Linked DNA regions of Rhinolophus ferrumequinum. The protein of the gene in region 1 interacts with the protein of each later gene in a pairwise test. Links are inferred from orthologs where the notes say so. Each region holds a gene or a part of one and is shown in the gene's direction. Other genes may lie near its edges.

Region 1 (7,388 bases):
CACTTTTTCTAAGAGCAGCCAGCCTCATCCACATTGCACTCTTTCTTGGAAAACTATCAGAGTCTGACAGACCCAGGGCAGGCAGCAATTGGCCTCAATGTGCTCTTAGACTTTTTTTTTTAATGATTACAATACAGTATATTTTTTTAAATTGAGGAACAGTGTGTTTTTCCAGGACCCATCAGCTCCAAGTCAAGTCGTTATTTTCAATCTAGTTGTGGAGGGCGTAGCTCACTGGCACATGTGGGAATCGAACAGGTGACCTGGGTGTTATGAGCACTGCACTCTAACCAACTGAGCCAATTAGCCACCCTGCTCTGAGACTTTTGCTGAGAAGCTTCAGGTTAAGTACTGGCACCAAACCAGAATTTACACTAACCTGGTGACCACAACTCTTTCCACTCTTGTGAGTCCTTGAGACCCTGCCTCTCCCAAACCTGATTACCGCTTGAGGCTTTGTCAGTGGCTGAACCTTAAAGGAGCTGGCAGGTGGCAGCAGGCTCAGGGTGTCCCGACATTTTGTGGAGCTACCCCAGGCCTGGTAATGGTAGCAGACATCCTTGGTTCGAAGCATGACCTCTCCCATGCATCTCCAGGGTTAGCACAGGCAGCAAAAAACCACAGATCTCTTTGTAGCTCTTACCAAGTAGTCCTTAGCTGGTCACAGGCAGTAGATGATCTGGGCCTACACTGGAGCCCCTCACAAGAGGCCCCAGAACCAACATATTTGGAGGTTGGCTTCAGACCACAGCAGAACACCACCCATTTAATCCCACAAGTGGCACACCCAAAGGGTGGTCTCACCAGGTATCAGAGCCCACTGGGGTGAATCCCACTTAGTGGGGTAAACCTACCCCCACCCACAGCAGCTGCGGACATGGCAAAACTTCACAGCCAATCAGCCTGAGGGTCAATCCCAACCACTGGCATGCCAATAGCAACCAAACATCAACTATAACAGGAGAGCACACACAACCCACACAAGGGACCCTCTTGGAGCATCTGGTACAGGTGACCAGGGAGACTGTGCCACTGGGCCCCACAGGACACGTACTACACAAGGCCACCTGGCCAAGACTGGGGGACATAGCAGATCTACCTAACACATAGAAACAAACAAAGAGAGGCAGCCAAACTGAGGAAACAAAGAAACACATCCCAAATGAAAGAGTAGGAGAAAAATCCAGAGAAAGACCTAAACAAAATGGAGACAAGCAGCCTACCAGATACAGAGTTCAAAACAATGGTTATAACGATGCTCAAGGAACTTAGTGAGAACTTCAACAAACAGATTGCAAGCATAAAAAAAGACATAGAAACCATAAAAAAAGAACCAGTCAGAAGTGAAAAATACAATAACTGAAATGAAGAATGCACTAGAAGGAATCACCAGCCGACTAGATGAAGCAGAGGACTGAATCAATGATTTGGAAGACAAGGTAGCACAAAACACCCAATTGGAACAGCAAAAAGAATCCAAAAAAAATCAAGCAAAACAACAATTGCATATTATGGGTACCAGAAGAAGAGCTAAAGCAAGGAATTGAGAACATATCTGAAGAAATAATGACTGAAAACTTTCCTAACCTGGCGAAGAAAATGGACATACAAGTCCAGGAAGCGCAGAGAGTCCCAAACAAGATGAACCCGAACAGGGCCACACCAAGGTACATTATAATTAGAATGACAAAGGTTAAAGAAAAAGAGAGAATCCTAAAAGCAGGAAGAGAAAGTCAACTAGAGACTTATGAGACTGTCAGCTGATTTCTCCATAGAAACTCTGCAGGCCAGAAGGGACAGGCACAAAACATTCAATGTGATGAAAAGCAAGGACCTACAACCAAGATTACTCTACCCAGCAAACCTATCATTTAGAATCAAAGGACACATAAAGAGCTTCCCAGAAAAGAAAAAGCTAAAGGAGTTCATCATCATCAAACCAGTGTTACAAGGAATATTAGAGGGACTTCAAGATGCAAAAAACAAAGATAAAAATTATGAATAATAAAAATGGCACTAGCTACATATTTATCAACAATTACTTTCAATGTAAATGTATTCAATGTTCCACTCAAAAGACACAGGAGGGCTGAATGGATAAGAAAACAAGAGCCTTATATATGCTGCCTACAAGAGACTCACTTCAGGTTGAAAGACACACATAGACTGAAACTGAAAAGATGGAAAAAGATATTCATGAAAATGGAAATGAAAAAAACAAAACAAAGTAAGCTGGGGTAGCAGCAATACTTATATCAGACAAAATAGGCTTTAAAACAAAGGCTATAAGAAGAGACAAAGAAGGACCCAGTAATCCCACTTCAGGGTATTTATCTGAAGAAACCCAAAACGCTACTTCGAGGAGATGTGTGCATCCATATGTTCATTGCAGCATTGTTTACAATAGCCAAGATGCGGAGGCAGCCTGGGTGTCCGTCAATGGATGAATGGGTAAAGAGCAGGTGGTACATATATACAAGGGAATATTGCTCGGCCATGGAAGGGAATGGGTTCTTGCCATCTGCGGCGACATGGATGGACCTGGAGGGTATTGTGCTGAGTGGAGTGTCAGACAGACGCAATGAGATTTCACAGTATGTGGAATCTAAAGTGCAAAATAAACAAACAGAAACAAACTCATGGATACAGAAAACATTTTGATAGTTGCCAGATGGGAAGAGGGTTGGGGGTGTGGGTGAAAAAGGGGAAGGGATTAAAAAGTACCAATTGGTTGTTAAAGAGTAGTTATGGGGATGTAGGGTATAGCATAAGGAATATAGTCAATAACATTGTAGTAACTATGTATGGTGTCAGATGGCTACTAGATTTGTTGGGGTGATAGAAGGGAGTGGGGTTGGGGACAGGGTGAAAACGTAAAGGGATTAAAAGGTACAAACTGGTAGTTACAAAATAGTCATGGGATGTAAAGTAAAGCATAGGAAATATAGTCAATAGTATGATAATACATAGTACAGTGCTAGGTGGGTACTAGTCAGGGGGATCACTTCTTAAATTACACAAATGTCTGACCACCATGCTTTACACCTGAAATTAATATAAAATAATATTGAATGTCAACTGTAATTCCAAAACTAAAAAAGGGGGGGAAAGGTGAAGGGGAATAAGTGTTCCATATTTCCAGGTATAAAACAAACAAGTCACAGGGATGTAACATACAGCATAAGGAATATAGTCAGCAATATTGTGATCGTGTGGTACAGTGTCAGATGGTTGTTGGACTTACCATAGTGATCACTTCTTTAGGTATGTAAATGTTGAATAACTATGGTGTAGACCTGAAACTAACATGACGTTGTATGTTAGCTATATTTTAATACAAATCTTAAAAGAATAAAAAGTAAAATAAATAAGAAAACACTAGATTTTTAAAAAATGGACAGGAAATTTGAACAGGCAATTTACCAAAGATTTACCAATGGCAAATAGTAAGCACATGAAAAGGTGTTTAATATCATCAATGATTAAGGAAATTCAAATTAAAACTACAATGAGATACCACTACACACCAATGAAAACGGCTAAAATTAAAAAGACCGACCCTACCAAGTATTGGTGTGTCTGTGAGAGTGGTGGGAACTGGAACTCCCACCCAAGGCTGGTGCGGATGTACAATGGTATGACCGCTTTGGCAGTTTCCTAAGAAGTTAGAAACACACATCTACCATGTGACCTAGCCCAGCTACTCCTAGGTATTTATATACCCAAGAAAAATGAAAGCATCATCTATCCATGCAAAGACTTGTACGGGAAGTTCATAGCAGCGTAAAAACTGGCAACCACCCAAAGTCCATTAACAAGTGAATAAACAAATTGTGATGTGTATTATATCCAATACAATGTAATACTATCAAATAAGTTTTACTTAGCCATGGAAGAACCATTGCCACATGCACCTACCTGGGTCAACCTCAAAAAGTAATTATGCTGAGTGAAAGAAACCACAGCAAAGAGTACGTACTATGCGATTTCTATTCACATAGAATTCTAGAAAATGCAATCTAATCTATGGCAATGGGAGGCAGATCAATGGTTGTCTGAGGAGGCAGATAGATGGAAACTTTAGGGGTGAGGGATAGTTCATGATCTTGATGGTGGTAATGGTTGCAGGGGGGCATACATATGTCAAAATGCATCAGATTGTACACTTTAAAATGTGCAGTTTATTGAAGATCAATAATACCTCAATAGGTGTTTTTAAAACAGATAATCTCGCGCCCAGGGTCACACAGCTGGAACACACAGAGCACGATTCACACAGAGCACGATTCAAACGCGTCTGCATTTGGATCCCGCGTACTTAACCCGAGCTCCCCATAACAAGGGCACCGAAGAAAGTGCTGGAAGGGAACAGAGTCCTAGCGCCCAAGTTAATGATTACAGGCGGCAGCCCCTCCCCGGCTGCGCTCCCCGCCCCGGGGCGGCCCGAGCGCGGCCCCGCCCGACGGCCGCCCAGAGCACCCAGCGCCGAGCTCGCCTTCTCCGCCGCCACCTGCTGCTCGCCCGCGCCCGCACCGCGCCCCGACATGGTGAGGGGGGATCGCGCTGCGCGATCGCGGCAGAGCCGTTACGAACGGGCGCACAGTGGGGCCCCAGGAGAGGAAGGGGGCAATGTGGGGTTCAGGCCAGGCCGGCTGCAAGGGCAGGGCTGGGTAGGGTGAAGTGGGAGGGACAGGGAGGGTTCTTCCGAGCCCCTCTCAGACTACCGCGCGTGGGATTCGGAGAATCGGGGTCTCCGCCCCGCTCCCACCCCAGGTTGTGCCCCAGGAGAAGCTGAGGCCGGGAGAGGGCGGTGGCAAGGCCAGGTAACAGCCAGGCTTGCCCCTGGCTCCCAGGCCCTCGCCCCCTCCGCGCCACAATAATTTGGGCGGGGCTTAGTGAACTCCCTATGGGAAGATGGGGCGGTGGGACCAGGGCCTGGGGTGGTGAGGGACAGCATAGTGAGCCCGCAGATAATGACCCCTCGGTGGTACGGTTCTGTTCTGTATTGAGGGTGGGGGGTCAACCTGTGTGGGTGTGCGCGCGCGTGGGAGTGAATCTGTGTGTTGTCTGTGTGCCTGTTTATCGCATTTCTGGGCACCGGCTGGCTAAGCCCTCTGTGCACCCTGTGCTGTCCCCGGCCTCTGAGCCAGCTCCTGGCGCCTAGTTTGAGGCCTGCACCCAGCAGTGGGGACGTGATTGCTCAGGATCAGCCGTCCCTCAGGCTAAGCTGCCCCTTAAGAGGGTCTCAGGCCCTGTGCTTCAACACCCCACACCCCTGCCCTCAGCCAGAGAGGTGAAGGTGAGCCCTGGGGGCAGCTAGGGGAGGTAGGCTAGACCCAGGGAAGCTAGACCCAGGGAAGCTTGACCTAACAGCCCAAAAGCATTAGGAGCAGTCCAGACTGCAGTGCTATCTGGGAAGGCATTTTGAGGGCTATAGCTTAGTGGGAGAAGAGGTGGTGAGTGAGGCTGACAGGTGCCCTGAGGCCCCGAGATGCAGGGCGTAGGTAATCAGTAACCTCTCCATGCACTCCCCCAGAGATCAAGGCCAGGCAGGCCTGACCTGTGATTTACTAAGTAAACACCACCCCTGCCCTCTCTCTGATCCTAGATCTCAGAGGGGCTTGTCAGTTCATCCCCAGGCTGAGAGACCTGGGGGGTTCCAGAAGATTCTAAAGAGAAAGAGTGGCCTCCCAGGAGCTCACCAGTACCCACCCACTCCTTTCCAAACCAAAGAACTAAACAGTGGGTTCTGATGCCTTGGCTGACATCTGGTCATCTGGTTGCCTGGATACGTAGAGCAGGCTTATCAGCCACTGAGAAAAGGCCAGCTCTGGAGTGGAGATGGAGTTGGGCATGTGACACAGGTCTCTATTGACATCTCTAGCCTTCGAGAGCTTAGGAGAGGAGACAGACCAAGTCAGATCTTCCAGAGAGAACACACGTTGTCAGGAAGGAGAAAAAGATTGACTTGTCAGAATGTGCAATGCTTTTCCAATTCTACCCAAACCTGCAAGGCCCATATGCCTACTTGTCCCAGGAAGTCTCCTTTTAAAAATGCAGATAACATTCCCTTACTGGTGTCCCGTGAGCTCCTCTTGCTGATGCGAAGTGGAAATTCTTATCCCCTTTTACCATGAAGCCAAGGGAGACAGGTGCCCTGGGCCACCTGGCTGGAGCATGGCAGAACTGGGTTTGAACCAGCCCTGCCCACTCCACCCATGGCTCCCAGTCTGTGGGCTGCCTCACAAAAGCCAAATTAACCTCCCTCTCGTCGTCTCCCCAGACCTCGATTCGTCTTCAGTGGAGCACTCCAGTTTCTGTCCGTGGGGAGTTCTATTTCAGGAGCCTCATTCTGGGATCCCTTAAGTTCCTACACTTGGATCCTCCCAGAGGATGGGACTGACTTTTGCTTCCTTCTGTTCTCTGATGGTTCCTCTTATGGCCTGAATGGTGCCAATTTGGACTACCCCGAGGGCACTTTGCACAATAGGTAAAAATATAGATGGGGCACTAGTTTGCCAGTCACCTTTGGCCAAGTTACTTCCACTTTTAACAGAGCTCTGTGGCTTGGGCTTCCCAGGCTGACAGGAAAGGTGGAAGTCTGAGAACCCTAAGTCTGGCATCTGGGAACCAGAGGCTGCATGGGAGCACCGTGGCGTACCCACCGGGAGGTAGTGCCAGGGCCTGTCAACTGCAGTGTGGCTAAGAGTCAACTGGACCGTGTTTTAAGTGCTGGGTGCTTGGCTGGTCCCAGCGAGGAGGCACGGACCCACTTCGAGAACTATGCCTGTGCTCTCAGTGACGACGGGGGGGAGCAGTGGTCACTCCCACCCGCAACCCCCCCGCCCCGCTTCAGCTCACTTCAATACACCTGACCGTGAGTGGCGTGGGGGCACAGGAGTGGACTGCGTAAGGTCCGTAACAGGAAAGGAAGGTTGGGCAGTTGGGGTACTCTTTCTGAAAGGTTGTGCTTTCATACATGCACAGCTGGGCTTGGTTTTACTTTTATTGCATTCATGTAAGAGAACTAGCTTTTGGGGAGAGGGGGCTCTGTAAGGCTTTGGGGGCAGCGGTGGGGGAGGACGGCTTCTCAGTCCCGACGAGGTGCATTACACCTCGGGATTTTGTTCTTTTGAGTGGAATGTAAAATCTCAGCACCTATCAGTGCATGAGCCAGGGCAGGGCGCCACCCTCCACACCTCCCAGTCTAGAGCTTTGGGCCAGCTGCCCTTTGACTGTCACCCAGTCCAGAGGAGCCAGTGGCAGCTGGCTCAATTCCCCGAAAGGTCTGGGGACCTCTTTTTTGTCCTGTACTAAGAAGTGCCCTTGGGCTTCTGTTTTTTCCCTCTCCCAGGCTGGCAAAGCACACAGGCTAAGTGCTGAGGAGA
Region 2 (7,076 bases), on another chromosome or scaffold:
TCTCCCTGCTCTTGCAAAGTTTACAATCTAATTGGATTGACAAGACACCGTCAGGAAATCACGAGAAAGGGTAGTGGGGCTAGGAGGAAGAATAGGAGTTTGAATACAGATAGGCCTTGGGGTGGGGGTAAGTGAATTCCAAAAGAGCTCTGAGATTGGTTCACAAGGCACCCATTTTGTGCCACCTCGGGAGGTCAAAGAGAAGTCTTATGCCTTGCCTGAACTTTGGCTTTGCGGACATCGGCTCTCCAAGTAGGAGGGAATGGTGGTAAAGCTTCACAGCTACCGTTTACTGAATACTACTTACTGTGTCCACCACGATCTATTAGGTCCGCAAGTTCCCCCAAACTCTGCGCCGGGAGTTTTGAAAGGAACACAGTGACATCTGCCGGCCACCTTACAAACTACCAACTCAAGGTCGTTCACGGTTTGTAAGGCGGAGCTCCATTCCTTGGATGGTATCATACCTTTGTGAGGCTGGGTTTATGGCAGTTGTTCTGATCAAAAGCAAGTATCATGCAAAAATGAGTGTGGAACAGGAAATGAAGGTGGTGACGTGACATGCAATCTAATTCCAAGGTCTGAGCAGCTGTTTAGGGCCCAACAAGGCCACTCATCCCATTTGTGTGTGATTATTTAAGAAGGAACCAAAATATTATTTTTTCTTTCAATTTATGTGCATTTTTAAAGGGGCTACTTAGTTGTTAGGACATAAATACTTAGTTGTTTTGCCCTAACTACTTACTAAATATAACTGTTAGTATTTTTTGTGGGGGTGGGCTGTGCCATGAAAAAATTACTGAGTCATGAAAGGCACCTTGAATTGAGAAAGTCTGGGATCTCTGCTTTATGATCTTTACAACTTCACAAAGAGTTGTCTTAAGCTAATTTAGGAGATCCATACCTCTATTTTATAGATGAGTCAAGAAAAACTAACTCACTTGCCTGAGGCGGCCCAGTGTGGGGGTGGGGGGTATGGGGACAGTGAAATTCAAACGAGGTCGTGTGTGATTCTCAAGAAGGCAAATTGCCACTTCCCACCTCCAGTCAATTCCGATTTGTCCCCTGATGGTGGGAAAGGGCAGGCTGCGGGCTGGGACCAGCTTTCTGTTGGTCGTGCCTCATCCTGGAAGAGGCAGGGTCAGTTTCCTGATGTCCCTTCTCATTTATCACAGGGTCCTCCCTACTCAGGGGCCCAAGACAATAGCCTCTGTGTGTACTGGGAGCTGAAGTTGGGCCCTGTGGGAGCCCCTCCCCTGGGACTCCTGGAGGCTCTACCTCCACCCACAACCGACAGGTCCCCGTCCCAACCAAGTCCACCTTCAGTCCCAGAGTCACTTCACCAACCCAGCCACCTGGCTGCAGGGGGACCCAGAAGTTAATGGGTTCAAAAGTTGTTCAAAGGATCCAGGCCCTACCCTTCTCGCCCTTCTAGGTGAAAAGTCGCGGAGGGGCAGCAGCAGCCCCCAAGCAGCCTCCTGGCAGGAGCTAGCAGCCGGAGAACCACGAAACCACCAAGGGACAGCACACAGCATCCTCCCTGTCCTATAGCTTGGACTTGAGAATTCTACCCATCCCCCCACCCCCGCTTCCCCAGCAGTGAGATACCTGACCCCAAAGCTACTTGCACTGGAGGGAAAAGAAGGCATTGGAGGAAAGGTGGGGGTCCCACTTTCCCAAGGGGCAACTGCAAACGTCCTCCTTCACAGTCTGTCTATCTGGCTCTGGGGAACTCTGGGCTCGCGATTTAACCCCTCTGAGACTGTTCCCTCTTCTGGGGGAATAATAACAGTACCTACTTCCTAGAGTCGGTCTGAGAATTTAATACATTACTAAAGCTTAGCGTACAGCTAGGTATACACGGTCAATGTGCGCTGAAATGTAGCTAATCATTCAACAAGTATTTATCGAGCACCTACTATGTATGTACGAGGCACCATTCTAGACACTGGGGATATAACAGTGAATGAGACAAACAAAAGCCCTGTCTTCAGGGGGCTTACATTCTAGCAGAGGAAGACAGACCGTACATAATGAACAGAATACATAAGTAAACTACAGAGCAGTGCTGTCTGATAGAAATAGGAGCCACATAGGTAATTTAAAACTTTCTGGTAGTATCATTACAAAAGCAAACAGAAACAGGCAAAAATAATTTTTCTAATTTTTAATACATTTTCTTAAAAAATGTTGTTTTAAAATTTTCACCCAACATATCAAACCATTGTCATTTCAACCAGTGGCATTAGCCACGTTTCAAGTGCTCAGTAGCCACGAGTAGCTAGTGGCTATGGTGTTGGGCAGTGCAGTTGGCCAACATGTTAGAAGGTAAGTGAGTGCAAAAATGAAGACGCAATTCAGGGTAAGGGGGACTGGAGCACCAGGTATGGGGGTGGACAGACCAAGAAGGTGGATGTGAGCCAAATAGAGGGGAGAAAGTTCTATTGTTATTGTTGACCTGTCCCATTCCCTCTCTGTTGGCCTGGCCTAGTTGCAGGGAGGGTTTTGTGGCCAATGGCACCTTCTCCCAAGCATGACCCAGGTTCTGCAGACCCCTGAGAGATGCAGACCCTCTGGAAATGCTCCCGCCTGAAGGGCAGCCCCTCAGTACCACCCCGCCTACTCCTGGGTAGACCCCTTATTCTGGGGCCAACCCAGGCAACACACCGCAGGAATTTTGTCAAGACTCTGACTAGAAGAGAGAAGAGGTGGGTGAGCTGCGAGGACCAGCTCTTGCCCAGAGCTGGGATTAGGGGGAGGTGAATGAGGGTGAGAACATTTTTTAAAAAAATTTTGCTACTTTGTTCATCACAGATGTTTTGGCATTAATTTAAAAATACATTCATGGATTCCTATATCATAAAATTCACCATTTAAAAATATTTACCCTTTTCAAGTTCAGAACTCAGTGGTTTTTTGTATAGTCAGAGTTGTGTAATATCACTCAATCAATTTTAGAACATTTCCATCATCCCCAAAGAAACCCCTTACTCACTAAACAGCGGCTCCCTGTTCCCTGCCCCTCCCACCCCCCGACCCTCAACTGCCAGTCTACTTTCCGTCTCTGTGGATTTGCCTGTTATGGATGGACACTTCATATAAATGGACTCATAATATGCAACCTTTTGTGTCTGGCTTCTTTCGCTAGTATAGTGTCTTCAGTGGTTCATCCATGTTGTACAGCACTTTGTTCTGTTTTCTGGTCAAATAATACACCGCTGCATCGACAGACCACATTTTATTTACCCATTCATCCACTGAGGCATGTTGTTTCCACATCATCGCTAGTGTGGATAACGCTGCTACTACAGACATTCACATGCGAGTTTCTGTGTGCACATGTATTTCGTTCTTTTGGGTTTTGCATCCATTTTGATGTTTAAATATATTGTATAGAAATGTGATTTTTTTTGTTTACTGAGTTTTTTGGCACCCCTTTCAAATATGCGCCTGAGTCAACTGCCTCACAGACCTCACCTTATTTCCACCCTGAAAGTCTTGTCCCTGGTTAGCTGTGTGACTTTGGGCAAGTTGCGTACCCTGTTGGAGCCTCGAGCCTCAGTTTCCTCCTCTATAGAATGGGGATAATTCCTGTACCTACCTTCTCATTGTTACAGACCTTGGCACACTGTAGACCTCAGTTAACAGCTTTTCCTACAGGCAGGCCTGGTGTCAGGCCTGAGGGGGCAGGTCCCCAAATGAATATGACCTTGCCCTTGAGGAGAGCTGGCCCACTTGCCTACAACTCCCTGCTGCTTCTGTTCCCAAGGGAAACCTGCTGTTTTTGCTCTCCTGCCTCAGCCTGGCCCCCCTACAAGGTCCTTGGGGGTGGGACCTGATGCTGCTCACCCGAAGTCCTCCTTGGCTCCCGGCACCTTCCATCCCAGCTGCCCTGGGCCCCCCACCACCGCCTCCCCCACCCTCCGCTCTGCCCACTCCCATTGAAGGCCGTGGCTCGCCGTCCCTCTGTGCTGCCATGAGGCCTGCACTTTGCAGGGCTGAAGTCCAAAGTTCAGTCCCTTCGCTAAGCACACGGATAAATATGAACCTTGGAGAATTTCCCCAGCTCCAATGTAAACAGAGCGGGCAGGGGCCCTGATTCACTGGCCGCCGGGGCCAGGGTTGGGGGTTGGGGGTGCCCACAGGGCTAGACTAGTGGGGTTTGGGGGGGACTATAGGTGCAAGCAGCCTGGTTTGTACCTGCCTGCTGACTGGCTGGCAAGTAGACAGTCCACGCGGTGGGGGAGGCGGCCCGCTTGGTGGCCCCGGGCCGCGTGGCCCCGTGGTAGTGGAGCCATGGTTTCTAAACTGAGCCAGCTGCAGATGGAGCTCCTAGGAGCCCTGCTCGAGTCGGGCCTGAGCAAAGAGGCACTGATCCAGGCATTGGGTGAGCCGGGGCCCTACCTGCTGGCTGGAGATGGCCCCCTGGACAAGGGGGAGTCCTGTGGCAGCGGTCGAGGGGAGCTGGCCGAGCTGCCCAATGGGCTGGGGGAGACGAGGGGCTCCGAGGAGGAGACGGACGACGATGGGGAAGACTTCACGCCACCCATCCTCAAGGAGCTGGAGAACCTCAGCCCCGAGGAGGCGGCCCACCAGAAAGCCGTGGTGGAGAGCCTGCTGCAGTAAGCACCCCCTTCCCTGTCTCCAGCTCTAAGGAGCCCAGAAGGGCCCACCCTCAGCCCCTGACTAGCCCTGCTGAGGCCAGAGTTCCGTGAGCTGGGCCTTTAGCCCAGTTGTCGGGAAGGGGGACAGGGCCCATGAGAGCTCAGGGGGGATGTTTACTCGGAGGCTGGTCTCCAAGCCCCCTCTCCCCCCACCTGGCCCTCCACAGAGTCCTGAGACCCCATGAGCCAAGGCTTTCAGCCCAGTGCTTGGGAAGTGGCCCCATTCCCCAGGGGAGCTCCAAGATGGGAAAAAAGCAGGAGACTTTACAATTCAAGTGCCTGGAGAACGAGAGGGTGGTGGGAATTTTTAGCCATGGCCAGTTCTACACTCCAGACCCTACTTCCCAGCTAAGTGCTCAGATTACAGGCTTGGGGGCCAGGGAGCATGGCGGGGGAGGTGGGGGGGGGCGGGCAAGGCCGAGGTTTTGGAGGCTCCCCTGGCCACCCGGGGACTCAAGCATTCAGCCAGGTCTTTCTTACCTGAGGGAGATGGAGCCTCAGAACGGGAGCTGCTCTCCTTTCTAGCACAACCTCAGGCTCTCCTGTCTCACCAGCAGGCGCTATTAGAGGCCTCTCGTTGTGTACCCCCATCCAGGGGCTGGCTCCCCATCTCTCGGAGAACTGGGTGGGTCTGAGTCTGATGCCTCCCCTCTCCTCAGCAGAGCTAACCTGGTTACTAATTACCCATGGGCTTTATTATTTCTCTTTTGTTTTATAAATTTATAAATGGCAAAAGGCTCTGATAAGGCCTGTGATCATTAACTTATAGGGATGGTGGCCTGGGGAGGCCTGAGCCAATGAACCTCCCACCCAGCGGGGGTGGGGGATGGAGAAGTGCAGGAGCGGAGGTGGGGAAAGGGAAGTCTGGGGGCTGTGAGGACCCCCTTCCCAACGCCCCTTTAACCTCTTTCCTAAGCTGGGTGCTGTGCTGAGGGTTTGCATGTACGTATAATTTTGGATAATGTGGAGATGAATCCTGGGAGGAAGCTATGGAAACTCTGCTCCGCAGATGAGGAAACTGAGGCCCAGAGAGGGGAAGTAGCTTGACTAAGGCCACTCGGCTGGGACTCCACACCCACTCAGTTTGGTGCTCTCAATCCCCATGACTGGGGGCCAGGGGTCGGCTGACAGTCACTGGGGCGGGGTCTGAGGAAGAGTTCCAAAGACGCTCTCCAGAGGGACCTTCTCTTTTCTGTTCAAGGTCCCGACCCCAGCTTGGGGTGGGGGAGGGCTGGATCCCTGCCTCAGGGAGTTCTCTGAGTCTGCCTGGCCTTGTGAGGGCCTGGGCAAGGGGCAGGGGAGCAGACAGGCCCCCTGACTTGGCAGGAAGAGGAGGGCAAAGGGCCCTGCTATGTTGCAGGGGAGGGGCAAAGAGTCAGGCATGGCAGACCCAGGGCGAGGGCACCTGGGACAGGGTGGGGCTGGGCCAGACCTGCTCAGGACCCCAGATGGGAATGGGGGCTTTCAAATGGGACAGGGGGACAGGGGGTGCCAAGGGCCTTTCTTACCTGGCTGGGTGGGGCCTCTTGATCAGCAGCCCCTTTGGTGGGATGGTGGGTGGGGGGAGGCTTGATCCACAGCACTTGAGGGTGAGAGCAGAGGTTAAAGTGCTCTCTAGGGACCAGCAGAGGCCTGGAAGCTGAGGGAGAAAGGGGAGACAGGGAGGAGGAGAGAGGGCGTGGGGCAGACGGATAGAGGCTTGGAGAAGCAGAATTGAGAAGAGGAGTGGGAGGAAAGAGGGGCTCACACCCAGCGGGGAGAAGGGGCTGGGGAGAGAGAGAGGCACCCCAAGCTGAGAGGAGGCTGGAGTGCTCCCGCCTGCCCCGATTGGGTTTTCTTTAATGCTAACAGCATGCTATTTACTTTCCATTTAAATTTGAGATGTTGCTATAAATTATCAACCAGCTCCTTGTTCCTGCGGAGTTTATAACTAACTACCTGGGTTACTTATTGTTCAGGTAACAAAAGGGATCAGAAACCGCCCTGAGGGAAAAAAGTGGGACCTATAGTCCCAGGGAACAGGAAGGAGAGGGGCTCGGGACCCCTGATGTCGGCCCGGGGCAGTGGGGGAGTTTGAAGCGCAGAAGGAGGGTGCAGAGGCAGGACTTCCATCTGTCTGCAGAAGACAGTGTCTTGGAAGAGGCAGCGTGGGTCCTGGGTCCCAGATCTCCCCAGGCGCCCTGTGCCTGAGGCTACAGCACGGCCCTGAGCTCTTCCTTTAATTCACTGTGTGACCTTGGGCCAGTCTCTTCTCTGCCTCCTGCCTCCGTTTCCCTACCTGGACAATGAATCAAATCCAAACTCCCTGGCCCAGTTCCCTGTCCTCTGAGGGACCTCTCACCCTCCCTCCCTTTCCTCCCGTTACACAGACTTTGCTGAGTCCCACCTCAGAGCCTTTGCATGTGCTGTTCC
Region 3 (7,694 bases), on another chromosome or scaffold:
CGTCCCGCTGGCCTGGGATCATGCCTGTCAAGTCTGCAGTCTCGGCGTAATCATTGCTATCACCTGGACACTCTGAAGTGCCCCTGTTTGGACAACTCCTTACACGGTCACCTCCCCGTGGGGCCTCCCCGGGTGTGGGCTGCCACGTGCCTGGGCCTCCTGGACCAGAGCCTGGCTGGGCCCTGACCAGGAAGTGACAGTTTTGCATTTCCCACAAGAATTGTTGCCGTAGCCTCCCGAGACAAGGAACTTGGAAGAAAAGACCAGGTGGGGATTACTGGGGTGACGTGTGGGAGCATGGGAAGGGATTCAACAAACATGAGGTGACGGACTAGCCAGGGAGTCACAGAGAGCGACCATCAGATGGGCACCGAGAGGGCAGGGGACAGGTGTGGGATCACAGGCCTGCAGTCAGTAGTGCAGACAGGGTCCTGGGGAGGGGGCACCGGGCACTGGGCAGAGCCGCCCCCTCACAGGGGAGCTGGGTCAGGGTGCGAAAGGGGAGGGTCCCCGTGAGAAACCTGTCAAGATCATCAACCATGCCCTTCTCCTCCTCTCACCGACAAAGTACAAGTTAAACAGACGCTCAGAGCCGATGTCCCTCCCTCAGTGTATTGGTTTCCTGCCACCACAAAAAGCCACAAACTGGTGGTGTAAACAACAGGAATCTGCTCTCCCACGTTTCTGGAGAAAAGTGTGAGGTCAAGGTGTTGGTCTCATCAGGGCCGGGCTCCCCCTGCGGGAATCAAGGGAGGGGCCTCCCTGCCTCTTCCAGGCTGTGGTGGCCGCCTCAGTCCAGGGCGTCCTGGCTCTCAGCTGCACCTCTCCAGTCTGTGCCTCGGCTGTCACATGCATCGCCCTGCGTGTCTGCATTCACATCGGCTTCCTCCTGTGTCTGTTTCTGCATCTCTTCCCCTCTTATAAGGATGCCACTCAAGCTGGATTTAGGACCTACCCTACTGCAGTGTGACCTCATCTTAGCTTAAACAATTACACCTATTCCCAGAAAGCCACGCTCCGAGGTTCCAGGAAGGACGTGAATTTGGGGAGGACACGATTCTACCCAGCACACTTGGCAGTCACTTAGTGACAATGGTTTGTTTCACAGGGAAGAAATCTGAAACCCAAGAGAGGTCGGGAGCTTGCCCAACTCGGGCTGGTGGGAGGACCGGGCTCCCTGGGGTCTCCTGCTGCTGCCCGGGCCTTTCAGGGACCATGTTCGCCCTCCTTCTAGGACATACTCAGCACAGGGCCCTGGCAGATGTGACTCGACGCCTTCCAGGTCCTCCCCTCGGTGGCTGTGAGACCTCGCTTCCTGCTGGAGCAGGGCCAGCTGCTCGGGTCTGGGTCCGGGAGGTGGGGCTGCCAATGACGGGCAGGTCTCCTCAGATACATCTGCTCCCCGGCTACCAGCTCTGTTTATTTCTGACTTATCTCTTCCTCTGGTGCCCTGGTCATCAGCCCGGTCATTCCTGGGGAGGTTTCCTTGTGATAGCACCTGGGCCGATGCAACAGCTCGAAAGCCAAAGCTGTGGAATCAGTGGTCACTGAGGCTGGAACCACCCCAAGGACACCTTGAGCCAGACAGCAGTTTCCCCTATGTGCTCAGGGGCTGTCACATACCCCCACCATCTGTGGTAGGATGAGAGGCATCCGAGGGCCCTCTCACTGGGACCCTGTCCCCCTCCCCTCCGCTGCACAGTTGCTGGGTGACACATTTGCAGGGTCTAACGCCCTCCCTGTTTGTCCTCAGTGGAAGCCACGCCAAAAGCCAGGAGGCTCCCCGAATCGATCCACTAGGATGGCTGCTCACATCCTGAAGCTTCGACGGGAGGAAACTGAGAACACAGAGGGAGCGGCCCGCCCCCAGGCAGCTGCAGAACGTGGTGACAGCTGGTCAGCAGGCGGCCCCGGGAGGTGTGGGACCCCAGGGCCCACCCAGGGATGCTGATGAGCATGACCTTGTACCTTCTTCTTCCACCTGGCTCTCTGCTGGCTTCAGTAACCAAGAGTGACCAGATTAGACGCCGAGAGGTGACACGTCCTAACGCTGTGTAGGACACCATATTTTCTGAGGGGTGGTGCGTTAGTACTACCTGTCTGGAACCCCCTCTGACCCTCACCCACCTGTGAACGCCTACCCATCCCTCAAGACCCAGTCAGGTTTCATCCTGATGAGAAGCCAGCTGTGCAGCATTCTGCCAGGTCTAATCGCATTGCATCACAAGTCACGCTTCAAGGCTTGTTCTTCCTCACAGGGCTGTGGGCTCTGAGGTCCGCAGCTCTGCCTGGTGTCCGTAGGGCCCAGCTCTCAGGCCAAGTGCCTGGCCCGTGATCCACTCTCGGTCCATGCTTGCTACACACATGTACCAATGGCCAGGCCATGCATCCTGCACCTCAGTCTCAGAGCCAGACCGCCTGCTACTTGGGCCCGTCCAGGTGGCCCTTACCTTCCCTGGGACAGCTGCACACCAAGCCCAGGGTGTGTGGTGTTTGTAGGGGGAGGGGGAGTTCCCTGGCTCAATGGATAGTAACGGAGTTTCACTGAAAGCAAAACACCAGCGGTGGCTCTGGGCGCGGATGCTCAGTGGGCTTCAGTCTCTGGATTACCTGCTTGGGGGCAGGGCCCTGGTATCCACATGGTTCTAGCCGGTGGAGACCAGGACACTCAAAGATGTTGCTTGTCAGAGCAGCCTTCGAATAACTGCCCCTTCTAGGCCCGTTTCTGAGGTGTTTGCACTTTCTGGAACGCGGCCCACGTCCACAGCCTGGCCAGGCCCAAGGGTGTTATGGGTGGGTAGGCAGAAGGTCTGGCTGGAAACAGCTCCCAGGAGTTTCTCCAGGAGGATCTTTTTCATAGCATAAAAATGGTGCCCTCTTTTAGCTTGGGTGCACTCCCTCCCTCTGGGAACAGAGCAAACGCCCTGAAAACAATGTAGGAATGGCTCTTCTCGTCTTCCCGCCTGCATTTGCCTTGGAGAAGGTGGGAGACCAGTGGCAGGCATTGCCCAAATCAGGTCATCGATGGCTCACTGAGTATAAGGGGCTGGGCCTGTGTGGGGACAGAGCCAGGAGTGCAGTTTCCAGGCTCTCGGCCTCACGTGGAAAGGTGCTGGCTCAGGTAGTAAATGGCCGTCAACTGTGACTGGATGGCCATCAGCTGTGGCTAGTTGGCCGTCAGCTGTAACCAGTGAGCCATTGGCCACTAATATAACTGCTGTGGCTAGGCTAGCAGAAAATGGGGGCTAGCAAGGAGATGGTGGCTGAGCCTGCAAGCGGAGCAGTAAGGGTTGAGAATTGTGTGGCTCCTGGTTCCTGTGTCTCCAACCCAGCCGCCAGCGAGACTATAGTGGTGTGACTCCCCTATCTATGGCTCCGTGGGTGTTCCTTTTTGGCCTCACCATGTCCTGCGTTCTTATGTGGGGAGCGGGAGCTGAGACCCCGCATGATACCCTGCATGACAGCCTGGAGAGTCCCACTGTGGGACACGGTCCTTGTCCCCAATGCGTGCACAGTCTGGCCCCATCGGTCACTCAATAAAGGACCATTCTGTGGGCAAACTTTTGGGTGCTCAGATCCCCCCAACCGGGAGGACTAAGTTCAACTATCCAGCTGCACCTGCTGCTGGGATGGCATGCAAAACCCACCTGAGGCTCCTGGAAAAGTCACTGGGTAACACTGGCAGCACCTGACAGGATGCCCCAGGCAGAAAAGAACTATGGAGACACCACAGTAACTAGAACACCATACGCTCTCTCCTGCACGGGAAGGGGGGAGGCTGTGAACAAGAGCCGAGATTGCAGGGCCCTACAGAGGGGGGCTGACCCCAGCTCCACATGGCCTTCTAGAGCAACCTCTGATGGCCACCTTAACTTCTGTGCCTTAGTTTTTTCCTCTGGAAAATGGGTATAACGATTCTCATGTCATTTAGATATGCTGTTATAAAACAATTTTCCAGATTTGCCTTCATTTAAAAAAAAAGCAAGCTGGGCATAGGTGTATGGTAAGTTCCCATTTGTGTTAAAAACGTGCTTAGATCTAGAGAACGTTCTGGAAAAATACTCAAGACCGTATCAAACACGGACACCACTAGACAGGAGGGCATCTTTAGCATTGTCTGATTTTCAAAACAATTGCACGTATTGTATTTTTATTACAATGTATTGAATACGTTTACTGACTACACTTATGGAAATGTAGTTCATGATAAAAATATTTTTTGCTGGATAAAAAGCAAAAAGGAAAGGACAGGAATGTGCCTTCCAGGAGTTGTGAGAGAACAATGAAATTGCACCTGACTCTTCAAGAACTCAGGGCTGATCTGGGAGTAAGTGGCGTGGGGACTCAAGTCATTGACTAGGGTAGCTTCTGGATTGCTCCTGGCAGGCTGAGCCTTGACCATCCCCCCAGGCCATGCAGACGGGGGCTGACACAGCCCTGCTCCCGGACAGAGGAGTGTCAACCCCAGCGTCACCAGTGGGGTCAGCACCACCCTCTCCCCTTCACGGAGGTGAGCCTGTGGGGCTTTCCCATCAAGCCCAGGGAACAGCAGGCGGGGCTAGAGCCAGAGGCAAAGCCTGTCCCCAGACAAACAGACTCCGGAATACCTGTGCAAACACAGGCGTATAAATGAGACTTCTTGGCAGAGGTGGCACATCCACTGAGTGGCCGGCTCACACAGCGCGCCCGTCACCATGGAGGCCAGACTGCCCTGGCTGCTGACAGTGGTCCTGGCCTTGGTGTTCTCCAGCTCGTCCGGGGAGTATGTGGGCCTGTGTGAGTACCTCTCTGACTTCTCTTCCCTCCACAGCAGGAAGGATGGGGTGGGGGCGGCTGGTGGCAGGGTGGGAACGCAGCACCAAGGGAAGGGGCACGGGAGACCCAGGCTTGGAGCTTTCTGTGGACTTGAGGAAGGCAATGGAGCCCCCACGTTAATTGAATAATTGCCATTTACCAGACACACACGTTTTCCCTCGACAGCCCTAGATATGGGTTTTGTTGTCCTCATTTTAGACAAGGAAACAGGCGCAGAAAGTTAATAACTGGCCTAAGGCAATCCTGCCCGTCAGCACTGAAAGCAGGATTCGAACCCAGGCCTGCCTGGCTGGCAGCCAGCCCCCAGACCACCATCCCGTCACCTGCTTTGCTAGACTTACGAATCACAACACAGGCCTTTATGCTTTGTGTTGACGCAATCACAAAACAAAAGGGAAGACAAATGACAAGGATTCCTTCCAGAACAATTCTGAAATTGTTTAGCCCTTGCAGTGTAACTCCAGGCAGGAGATGTGACCGTTTCATTATCCCAGCTTTGAAGAAACGAGGGTGTGGCTTTTATCAGCTCACCTCTGTAGCCGTGTCAAAGGCAGCGTTCCCAGACTTGGCACCTCCCGATTCACCTGGAGCCCAGGATGCTCCAATTACACGTCTCTGGGTGGGAGCGGGGGTGGGCATCAGTCGTAGTGAGAGGTCCCCCGTGGGTCCCAATGTGAGCAAAGTTTGGGAACCATGGGAGTGAGGACTTACACACTGGCAGCAATAGAAGAGGATTTAAGAGACTTCGTGTGATTTCTATTTTCCTAAGGAAAAGTTAGGTGATGAGGCAAAGGGGACATACTAACCTTAGACGTACAGGTTTGCTTGAAAAACGAACATTGAAGACTGGAGGATGTAAGGGAAGGTGTGACAAGCCAAACAATTTGGGGACAGGGAGGTGCAGGAAAGAAGTGAAAAACTCAGCGTGCATTGTGGTTTTCTCTATTGGATGTATATCTTCTGTTACACTTTTCATTTAAAAAGAAAGGGTGGGAGGGATTTTCGTTGATAAAACAGTAAAAGGGAACTTTGTTTCTGGGTTCAAGGGACCTGGTCCATGGCTTCTGCCCGCTGAAGGGAGCCTAGGCCCATGCTGACTTCCTGAGGTGCTAAGAGCACCCGGGCAGATGACCAGACTTCCTACAGAACATTTCTCTTTAAATATTTACACGGAAAAAGCATCCTCCTCGAGCCAATGTGGGTGGGGGGTCACATATTTGGGACTCGGGATGGGGGTGCAAACTTGCAAACTGAAGCCAGCAGACCAACCCCAAGTAGCGCCCTGGCAGCTGACTGGGCTTTGTCTGGCACAGCGGAGAACCAGTGTGCCGTCCCGGCCAAGGACAGGGTGGACTGCGGCTATCCCCAGGTCACCGCTGAGCAGTGCAATAGCAGGGGCTGCTGCTTCGACTCCAGCATCCCCGGGGTACCCTGGTGCTTCAAGCCACTGGAGAAGTCAGGTAAGCCAGCCCCACAGGCACCAGGCCCTTTGTGGGCCTGCGATGGCTCCTCCGGGTCCCCCTGGGCCCTGGGCCATGCTGTCCGTTGGTGGACGCCTCAGTCAGAGGCTTCGTGTCCAGGGCAGTCAGCTGCCAGTGGCTGTCCCCGGCTGTCCTGTTGCCGAGCGGTTTGTGCAAAATGTAAAAGCAATCGTTTCCAAAAAGTATTCAAAGTCAAGGTATTATGTAGAAAGAACTAGTTTAAAATTATCTTGGAGTACGTGTGGAAAGCTGGGCCGACTTTCCAGGAGGTATTCAGCAAACCAGCCAGCCACCATTATCTGTGACATGCAGATAGCAGACGGGTGGCAGCACCAGGCCTGCAGCCCTGGTGTCTCTCCGTACCCTGCCACCTTCCCCCCACCCCGCCTCACCACGAAGCACCCCTCCTGCTCCCTCCCTGGGTGGTGCAGTGGGGTGCAGGACAACCACCGGGGAGCCCCACGTCAGCAACAGATGGCGTGCACACGGGTGGCTGCTGTCTGGGCCCTGCCGGCCCCACCCCACACATCCTGGGCGTGGAGGTCACCATAAGCCACCTGGCAGCCCAAGTGCCAGCTCACCTCTGAGGAGGACATAGCTACGTTAGGCGCCTTCCTGGAGTCAGCACCCTGGGGGCCGCTCTTGCCCTTTGTCCCAGGATAATGAGGAAGGGGCTGCCCCCCAGCTGGTCAGTAACGGGGTCCCTGCCCACTGCCCAGGGAGGACCTCCTCCCCATTGCCAGCAGATCCGGGCAGAGGTCTAGATAAGGTTTTGGGACCAGGAGGCAGAGCTACCCATTGTCCCTTTGCTGGGTGTCCTTATTCTATCTATTCCTCAGCCTGGGGTGACACCTTCTTTTCTGGACATGGGGTGTCCCCTGGGGCTTGGCAGGACATGTGGCTGTTCTCCCACAGGGTGGGGGACTCAACACGTCCCCAGTGACTTGGGGGAGAATGCAGCCTAAGGCGCTGAACTTGGGTTCTGTCTTGACCTTGAGAAGCTGGGTGTCGGGTGGGTGGAGACCAGACCTGCTCACGGTAATGCATCCTGTGCTTTGTTTCCAGAATGTACATTTTGAAGCCACGCCCACTGCCCCTGGACACCCTGGGAGGTGAACGTCCACATCCAGGCACTCTGCCCGCTCATCTCTGCCTTTCTATCACCCTGCTCCTGGCAAGGCTTCATCTGAAAGTTGATGTCTGGGGCCTGATGTCTTAAAGAATAAAGATCCATGCTCAGCACAAGGCCAGGTGTTCATTCCTGAGACTTTATGTTGTTGTGTTTTATTTCTGCCAAGTTGCTCTCACTCCCTTCTCAACAATTCACAGGTGGGGGATGGCAAGGGGTGTCATAGCATCTCTGACAGAGGGTCTGTCCCAGCCTCGTGAGCAGGAAAA

Evidence for each region.
Region 2: the proteins of PCBD1 (region 1) and HNF1A interact in binary tests that used the Homo sapiens proteins (3 or more experiments, as listed by UniProt). The link is inferred for Rhinolophus ferrumequinum from reciprocal best matches to the Homo sapiens genes PCBD1 and HNF1A.
Region 3: the proteins of PCBD1 (region 1) and trefoil factor 3 interact in binary tests that used the Homo sapiens proteins (3 or more experiments, as listed by UniProt). The two-hybrid records come from large-scale screens. The link is inferred for Rhinolophus ferrumequinum from reciprocal best matches to the Homo sapiens genes PCBD1 and TFF3.

The regions. Positions count from the first base shown.
Region 1 is NC_046299.1:48,901,773-48,909,160, reverse strand, and holds the start of PCBD1 (pterin-4-alpha-carbinolamine dehydratase), read left to right. Parts: upstream 1-4,376; 5' UTR 4,377-4,391; coding exon 4,392-4,547; intron 4,548-7,354; coding exon 7,355-7,388. UniProt on the Homo sapiens protein: Involved in tetrahydrobiopterin biosynthesis. Seems to both prevent the formation of 7-pterins and accelerate the formation of quinonoid-BH2. Coactivator for HNF1A-dependent transcription.
Region 2 is NC_046308.1:13,561,998-13,569,073, forward strand, and holds the start of HNF1A (hepatocyte nuclear factor 1-alpha), read left to right. Parts: upstream 1-4,064; 5' UTR 4,065-4,296; coding exon 4,297-4,622; intron 4,623-7,076. UniProt on the Homo sapiens protein: Transcriptional activator that regulates the tissue specific expression of multiple genes, especially in pancreatic islet cells and in liver. Binds to the inverted palindrome 5'-GTTAATNATTAAC-3'.
Region 3 is NC_046285.1:106,268,613-106,276,306, reverse strand, and holds trefoil factor 3, read left to right. Parts: upstream 1-4,682; 5' UTR 4,683-4,694; coding exon 4,695-4,776; intron 4,777-6,128; coding exon 6,129-6,275; intron 6,276-7,361; coding exon 7,362-7,375; 3' UTR 7,376-7,561; downstream 7,562-7,694. UniProt on the Homo sapiens protein: Involved in the maintenance and repair of the intestinal mucosa. Promotes the mobility of epithelial cells in healing processes (motogen).